Macaca fascicularis: one gene and its partner. The protein of the gene in region 2 interacts with the protein of the main gene of each other region in a biochemical or structural test. Links are inferred from orthologs where the notes say so. Each region holds a gene or a part of one and is shown on either strand. Other genes may lie near its edges.

The links.
Region 1: of the proteins of CCNB1 (region 2) and ZC3HC1, one has a biochemical effect on the other in vitro, tested with the Homo sapiens proteins (3 studies listed by BioGRID, with this or other methods). The link is inferred for Macaca fascicularis from reciprocal best matches to the Homo sapiens genes CCNB1 and ZC3HC1.

The regions. Positions count from the first base shown.
Region 1 is NC_088377.1:171,558,479-171,562,227, reverse strand, and holds the start of ZC3HC1 (zinc finger C3HC-type protein 1), read left to right. Parts: upstream 1-1,216; 5' UTR 1,217-1,224; coding exon 1,225-1,370; intron 1,371-3,483; coding exon 3,484-3,595; exon of another isoform or gene 3,596-3,749. UniProt on the Homo sapiens protein: Required for proper positioning of a substantial amount of TPR at the nuclear basket (NB) through interaction with TPR.
Region 2 is NC_088380.1:74,832,793-74,836,441, forward strand, and holds part of CCNB1 (G2/mitotic-specific cyclin-B1), read left to right. Parts: intron 1-1,864; coding exon 1,865-2,047; intron 2,048-3,649. UniProt on the Homo sapiens protein: Essential for the control of the cell cycle at the G2/M (mitosis) transition.

The sequences.
Region 1 (3,749 bases), on a different chromosome or scaffold from region 2:
TATTTGACATCTAACTCCACCAAGATCTACAGCTCCTTTGCTCACAACTGTCATTGCCAGTGCCTAGAGACTATCAACAGGAGATTTTTGGCTGGGCAAGGTGGCTTATGCCTGCAATCCCAGCACTTTGGGAGGCCGAGGCAGGTGGATCACCTGAGGTCAGGAGTTCAAGACTAGCCTGGCCAACATGGTGAAATCCCATCCCTAATAAAAATACAAAAAAAAAAAAAAAAAAAAAAATTGCTGGGCGAGGTGGCGCATGCCTGAAAGCCCAGCTACTCAGGAGGCTGACATAGAAGAATTGCTTGAACCCGGGAGGCAGAGGTTGCAGTGAGCCGAGATTGAGCCATTGCACTGCAGCCTGGGCAACAAGAGCAAAACTCCGTCTCAAAAAAAAAAAAAAAAAAAAAATAGGATGCTTTCAATAAATATTTGTTGAACGAAGGAAGGAGTATCAATAGCGTCAAATGCCACAGACTTCTAAATCCATCCATAACACAGTTTCCAACAAGGATTCTAAATTATTTGCTCTCAAGAGAGGGACACCATTTCCTCGCTTGTAAAAAGACGCAACTTAGTAGGGTCGTAAGAGTTTTTTTTTTTTTTTTTTTTTTTTTTTTTTTTTTTTTTTTTTTTTTTAAACGGAGTTTAGCTCTTGTCGCCCAGGCTGGAGTGCAGTGGAGCGATCTCGGCTCACTGCAACCTCCGCCTCCCGGGTTCAAGTGATTCTCCTACCTCAGTCTCCCTAGTAGCTAGGATTACAGGCGCCTGCCAGCACGTCCAACTAATTTTTGCATTTTTGGTAGAGATGGGGTTTCACCATGTTGGCCAGGCTGGTCTCGAACTCCTGACCTGAGGTGATCCGCCCGCCTCGGCCTCCCAAACTGCTGGGATTAGGCATGAGCCACTGTGCCCGGCCGTATTAGTATTAGTTGAAAACTAAGTTAAGCCCCTCATCCCTGCTGAATTTGGACAGACCGCGTTCTAAAAATCTCTTATCAACCTAAATATGCTAGTTGATAAAGGAAATGATTAATCAAGATTGTCCTAAACACTACAGCCCTCCTTAAGCTCGCTCTAAGGTTCTAAAACGACCAAAAAAGGCGTGGACCATGCGGTTAAACTCTCCCGGTCAGGCTGCCTCAAGAGGCGGATATTAACCTCTCAGGACGGAAGTTCCGGAGCCTTCAAACGCTCGGGGAAGCGACTCGGCAGCGGACCAAGATGGCGGCGCCCAGTGAGGGACAAGCGTTTGCCGTAGGGGTTGAAAAGAATTGGGGTGCAGTTGTTCGCTCCCCAGAAGGGACCCCCCAGAAAATCCGGCAGCTGATAGATGAAGGGATTGCCCCGGAAGAGGGAGGCGTGGACGCGTGAGTTCACGAGTTAGCCCTGGGTCCGGCATTGGAAGATTGGAGAAGGCTTGGGGAGGGGGTGGCGTGTCGCGTGGGGGGTTCCCCTCGGTCGGCGTCTCGGGCAGTGGGGATGGCTTCTTCTTAGGATCTGAAAGATACTCTGGTTACTATGTTTGATCGGCTTTGATCTTCCCGTCGGGATGTACCGGATTCCCAACCGCAGCCGAAATTTTGTCATCGGACATTATTTTTGGAAGGAAAAAAAGAGGACCGTCAACTGAATGAGTTCACCTGACTTCTCTTAATTGGGAATTCTTAACCTTTTTTTGTGCCGTGGACCCCTTTGGTTCTCTGGAGAAGCTTATTAACTCTCGTAATATTTTTAAATGCTTGAAGTAAATTACATAGGATTATAAAGGAAACCAGTTAGATTAGAATGTAGTTATCAAGATAGTAAAAGGAAAAAGTTATGCAGTAACATTCTTTTTATTAAAGAGTTCATAATATCTAGTAGTATGTCTTGTCAACCGTAAAAGGTATTTGAAAACGTGCAACCACCGTAATGTGGGAACATTATTTCCATAGATGACAAATTAACGGGTACTAATACTACTATGGTGTTTTTACCTTCATTCATAATTGAAGAAAATGCTAAATCTTGTCATTTAAAGAGAAATAAATGTCATTTTTACCTATCCAAGTTTATGGATGCTGTGAATTTTTTTTCTTGGGGAAAAAATTTTTTTTCCCACACCGCCTTGAGGCTTTCTATGAATCTCTGAGAGTTTTAGAATAAGTTTATTTCTTTTGAGCTATAATCGTTGATGTAATCCTATTTTTATTAAAATAATGTTTGTCGCCTGGCGCGGTGGCTCATGCCTGTAATCCCAGCACTTTGAGGAGGCTGAGGCGGGCAGATCACGAGGTCAGGAGATTAAGACCATCCTGGCTAACACGGTGAAACCCTGTCTCTACTAAAAATACAAAAAAATAGCCGGGCGTGGTGGCCCGCCCCCGTAGTCCCAGCTACTCGGGAGGCTGAGGCAGGAGAATTGCTTGAACCCAGGAGGCGGAGGTTGCAGTGAGCCGAGATTGTGCCACTGCACTCCAGCCTGGGCGACCGAGCGAGACTCCGTCTCTGAATGAATGAATGAATGCATGCATGCATCCTTGTCTTTCAGCAATTCCCCGAATTCCCCGAGCACTGTTGAAATGCCTTCCACTGAAAATGAGAGAATTGCTTTGCTGAGTTTTTTCTCCCTGATTTTTTTTTTTTTCATGAAATTTCCTGAAGATCTTTACTTTGATTCGAATTTTCTAATTGGTTCTTTTTTTTTTTTTTTTTTGGAAGGAGAGGGTATCAAAGGTTCCTGCAGGTAGAAATATCAAAATTGTTTTTTCCGCTGTTATGAGTCGAATTTCTGCCAGGCGCGGTGGCTCATGCCTGTAATCCCAGCACTTTGGGAGGCTGAGGCGGGCAGATCACGAAGTCAGGAGTTTGAGACCAGCCTGACGAATACGGTGAAACCCCGTCTGTACTAAAGATACAAAAAATTAGCCGGGCCCACGCCCAGTGGTGCGCAACTACTCGGGAGGCTGAGGCAGGAGAATTGCTTGATCCCAGGAGGCGGAGGTTGCGGTGAGCTGAGATCATATGTACCATTGCATCCCAGCCTGGGCTACAGAGTGAGACTCCGTCTCACAAAAAAAAAAAAAAAAAAAAAAAAAAGTCGAATTTCTGAAGAGATTCAAATTGTATAATGCATACCTGAAGTCTTTCTGTTTACTAAAGTTATGCAAAATACTTATGGAGAACAGTGAATGAGTGAGGAGAATAGTTTACTAGGATTAGTGGAGCCCTGTAGAGGTAGAAATTGACTGAAGTTTAGATATGGGTAAACTGTAAAGAGTTTTGAATGCCAGACTGAAGAATTTGGATTTTATTTAGTAAGTATTATAAAACCATTGAAAATAATAACCTGAGGAATGACATGAGTAAAATGATTTTTAGGAAGCTTAAAATCCAGCGTTGGTGTGATTTATGATACAATGTGTAGAGAAGCTAGATAGAAAACATTTAAGCAGAGGGTACTGTGAAAAGTTTACCAACAGTTTTGCCACTTTATATTAGGAAGGACACGTCTGCCACTTCCCAGTCAGTTAATGGATCACCCCAAGCGGAACAACCTTCATTGGAATCTACAAGCAAAGAAGCCTTCTTTAGCAGAGTGGAAACATTTTCTATATCCTTTTTTAGTTCATGTGAATTGCACTTTCTGCCTGCTTCTAGAATTCCTCCAACGTATTACACTACTTACTGTAATGTTTTAAACTTTAGAATCAAACCTTGGTAAGAAGTTATATAGGAAAGTCAGCATCCTAATGTGTTATCACTCA
Region 2 (3,649 bases):
TATTGCTTTAGTGTTGAATTTCTGGGCATAGCACATGAAACATGTAGCCAGCATGGTCTTTGGGCATATCAAACTACATGATGCTTTCTTGAAAGGTCCATACCGATTCTTACCTTTGCTTTCCCACTTAGTAAGAATGCCTTCCCTACCCTTTCATTTAGCTAATAACCTTTTCATCCTTGAAAACAGCTCAAGCACCAACTCCTGAAGCTTTCCTGAACTTCTCCCATCTCCACCCCTGTTCCTAGAATCAGTCTTTTTGTTTGTTTTGAGACAGTCTCATTCTGTTGCCCAGGCTGGAGTGCAGTGATGCCATCTCAGCTCACCGCAACCTCTGCCTCCTGAGTTCAAGCGATTCTCCTGCTTCAGCCTCCCAAGTAGCTGGGACTACAGGCACGTGCCACCATGCCTGGCTAATTTTTCTATTTTTAGTAGAGACGGGGTTTCACTATGTTGGCCAAGCTGGTCTCGAACTCCTGATCTCGTGATCCACCTGTCTCAGTCTCCCAAAGTGCTAGGATTACAGACATGAGCCACCATGCCCAGTCTCAGTCTTATTTTTACTTATTTATTTATTTTTTCCCGAGACGGAGTCTTGCTGTGTCACCTAGGCTGGAGTGCAGTGGCGTGATCTTGGCTCATTGCAACCTCCGCCTCCTGGATTCAAGCAGTTCTCTTGCCTCAGCCTCCTGAGTAGTTGGGATTACAGGCACCCGCCACCACACCCAGCTAATTTTTTTTTTTTTTTTCTATTTTTAGTAGAGAGGGAGTTTCACCAGGTTGGCCAGGCTGGTCTCAAACTCCTGACCTCATGATCCGCCAACCTGGGCCTCCCAAAGTGCTGGGATTACAAGTGTGAGCCACCGCGCCCGACCTTATTTCTTTACTTTGTCTACTAAATTCAGAGTCCCTTGAGGATGCCATGAAGTCAATGCCTTGTAGAGTTTGACTTGAAGAAGGGGCTCAATAAATGTTTGAACAATGGGATAAAGGGAGCTTGAAGGAAGTGGTTAATGGTAATGAAGTTAATCCTTAGTAGTCAGGATAGAATTTATGTTATTTTGAGTAGTGAGAAGCAGTTTATATTTTGAAATAAAGACTAAAGACTGAACTGTCCTTTATTTGGATTAACTTCACATGTTGCTGATAAAGATTAATTACTTCTCAGTTTCCTTTGCAGGAAAGTCTAGAATGTGAATTTATTTGCTTCCAACTTTAAACTGACTCACTCTGAGTTGGCATTTCACTCTTTTTTTTTTGCCCAGGCTGGAGCAGAATGGCGCAATCATAGCTCACTGTATCCTCAAACTGCTGGGCTCAAGTGATCCTCCTACCTTGGCCTCCTGAGTAGCTAGGATTATAGGCAGTTGCCTTCATGCCCAGCTAATTTTTTGTAGAGATGAGTTATTGCTATATTGCCCAGGCTGGTCTCGAACTCATGGTCTCAAAGGATCCTCCCACCTCAGCCACCCAAAGAACTGCGATTACAGGCTTGAGCCACCATGCCCGACCTCATTCTTTTTAATTGAGTAATTAAATGATCACTTTCTTTTTTAACAAAGACAGGGTCTTGCTATATTGCCAAGGCTTGTCTTGATCTCCTGGCCTCAACCTCAGCCTCTCAAAGTGCTGAGATTAAAGGCGTGAGCCACCACGCCCAACCCAAATGATCACTTTGGATGTTAATCACTTCCTAAAAAGAAATGGAATAAGTATGAAAAGATACTTTTCCTTTAAGGAAATGAATTGTATGTTGATTCAGGAGAACACTATCTTGAGTTGGTACCAATAACCTGACCTTCAAGCCCAAACTATAGTGCTTACTCCTATTTGCTCTTGTTTCAAGAGATCTCTTTGTTTTAAGGTCGATACTCCCTCTCCAAGCCCAATGGAAACATCTGGATGTGCCCCTGCAGAAGAAGACCTGTGTCAGGCTTTCTCTGATGTAATTCTTGCAGTAAATGATGTGGATGCAGAAGATGGAGCCGATCCAAACCTTTGTAGTGAATATGTGAAAGATATTTATGCTTATCTGAGACAACTTGAGGTCAGTATTATCATTAGTTTTTTTTCTAAACTGCATCTAACTTTATGAAAGTCTTTTCTATCAATAGTTCATAATAATTCAAGCAGGACTTGGGCAGCATTTCTTAAGAGATCGCACTTTCAAATTCTCCTTCATGGAATACCTAAAATAAAAAGTCACTAAATCAATGGAGTCTATTTGCCACTTTGTGCAGGAAAGTTCGAAGTCAGGGTGGATACTACTATCGGTCTTTCTGAAGGAAAGTCCACAGATTGAATTTGATATGTATATATGCAATCTCCACCGTATTTGGAATGGTTAAGTCCCAAACTCTGCATTTTAGGTAATAATGGGTCAGCAAGTGGATGAGAATGTAGAATATACTCAAAGACTACAGCCACCCCTAACACAAGGCATTTTGTGTTAGTGTGGCTGATGTGCGTCCAGTTGTTGGTGAAATTATTTGTGCCCAAAAGGAGTACACTCAAAAGCTACTTTTTGGTTCACTTCAATTTGATCCCACTTTTGAAACTTTCTCTTAATGGCATTTGCCCTTTTCCTACAAACACAAGTATTCTATATGGCAGCATAAACATAGTAGCGTCAACTATACCGTTATCACATTTACCTAGTTTTTTGGTGTGTGTGTGTGTGTGTGTGTGTGTTTTTTTTTTTTTTTTTTAGAGGGAGTCTCACACTGTCGCCCAGGCTAGAGGGCAATGGTGCCGTCTCAGCTCACTGCAATCTGCCTCCTGGGTTCAAGCAAGTAATTCTCCTGCCTTAGTCTGCCGAGTAGTTGGGATTGCAGGCACACACCACCATGCCTGGCTAATTTTTTGTATTTTTATTTGGTTTTGGTTTTTTGAGACAGGGTCTTGCTCTGTTGCCCAGGCTGGAGTGCAGTGGTGCAATCTCGGCTCACTGCAACCTCTGCCTCTCGGGTCAAGTGATTCTCATGCCTCAGCCTCCTGAGCAGCTGGGATTACAGGTGCCCACCACAACACCCAGCTAATTTTTGTACTTTTAGTAGAAATGAGGTCACCATATCGGCCAGGCTGGTCTCAAACTCCTTAGATGATCCACCCACCCGGCCTCCCAAAGTGCTGGGATTACAGGCATGAGCAGTCGTGCCCAGCCCCCAGTTGTTTTTAATGCATCGTCTTAATGTCATCACTGACATCTCTTGCCTGCTCCTTTGGGGCCTCTCCTTTTTCTATAGGATTCTTCTGCAAGACTTCTATGCCAGGAGTAGCCTTCTGCTTTGAGTTTCTTCTGCCATCTTTTTAGGGCTTTTTAAAGTTGTGTTCTAACTTTGGAGGATACCTTTTTTTTTTGAGACAGTCTCGCTGTGTCACCCAGGGGGTGTGCCGTGGCTCACTGCAAGCTCCGGCTCCCAGGTTCACGTCATTCTCCTGCCTCAGCCTCCTGAGTAGCTGGGACTACAGGCACGTGCCACCATGCCTGGCTAATTTTTTGTATTTTTAGTAGAGACAGGGTTTCACCATGTTAGCCAGGATGGTCTCGATCTCCTAACGTCATGATCCACCCACCTTGGCCTCCCAAAGTGCTGGGATTACAGGCATGAGCCACCGTGCCCAGCCTGTAAATGTGCTGTTTCTTGAT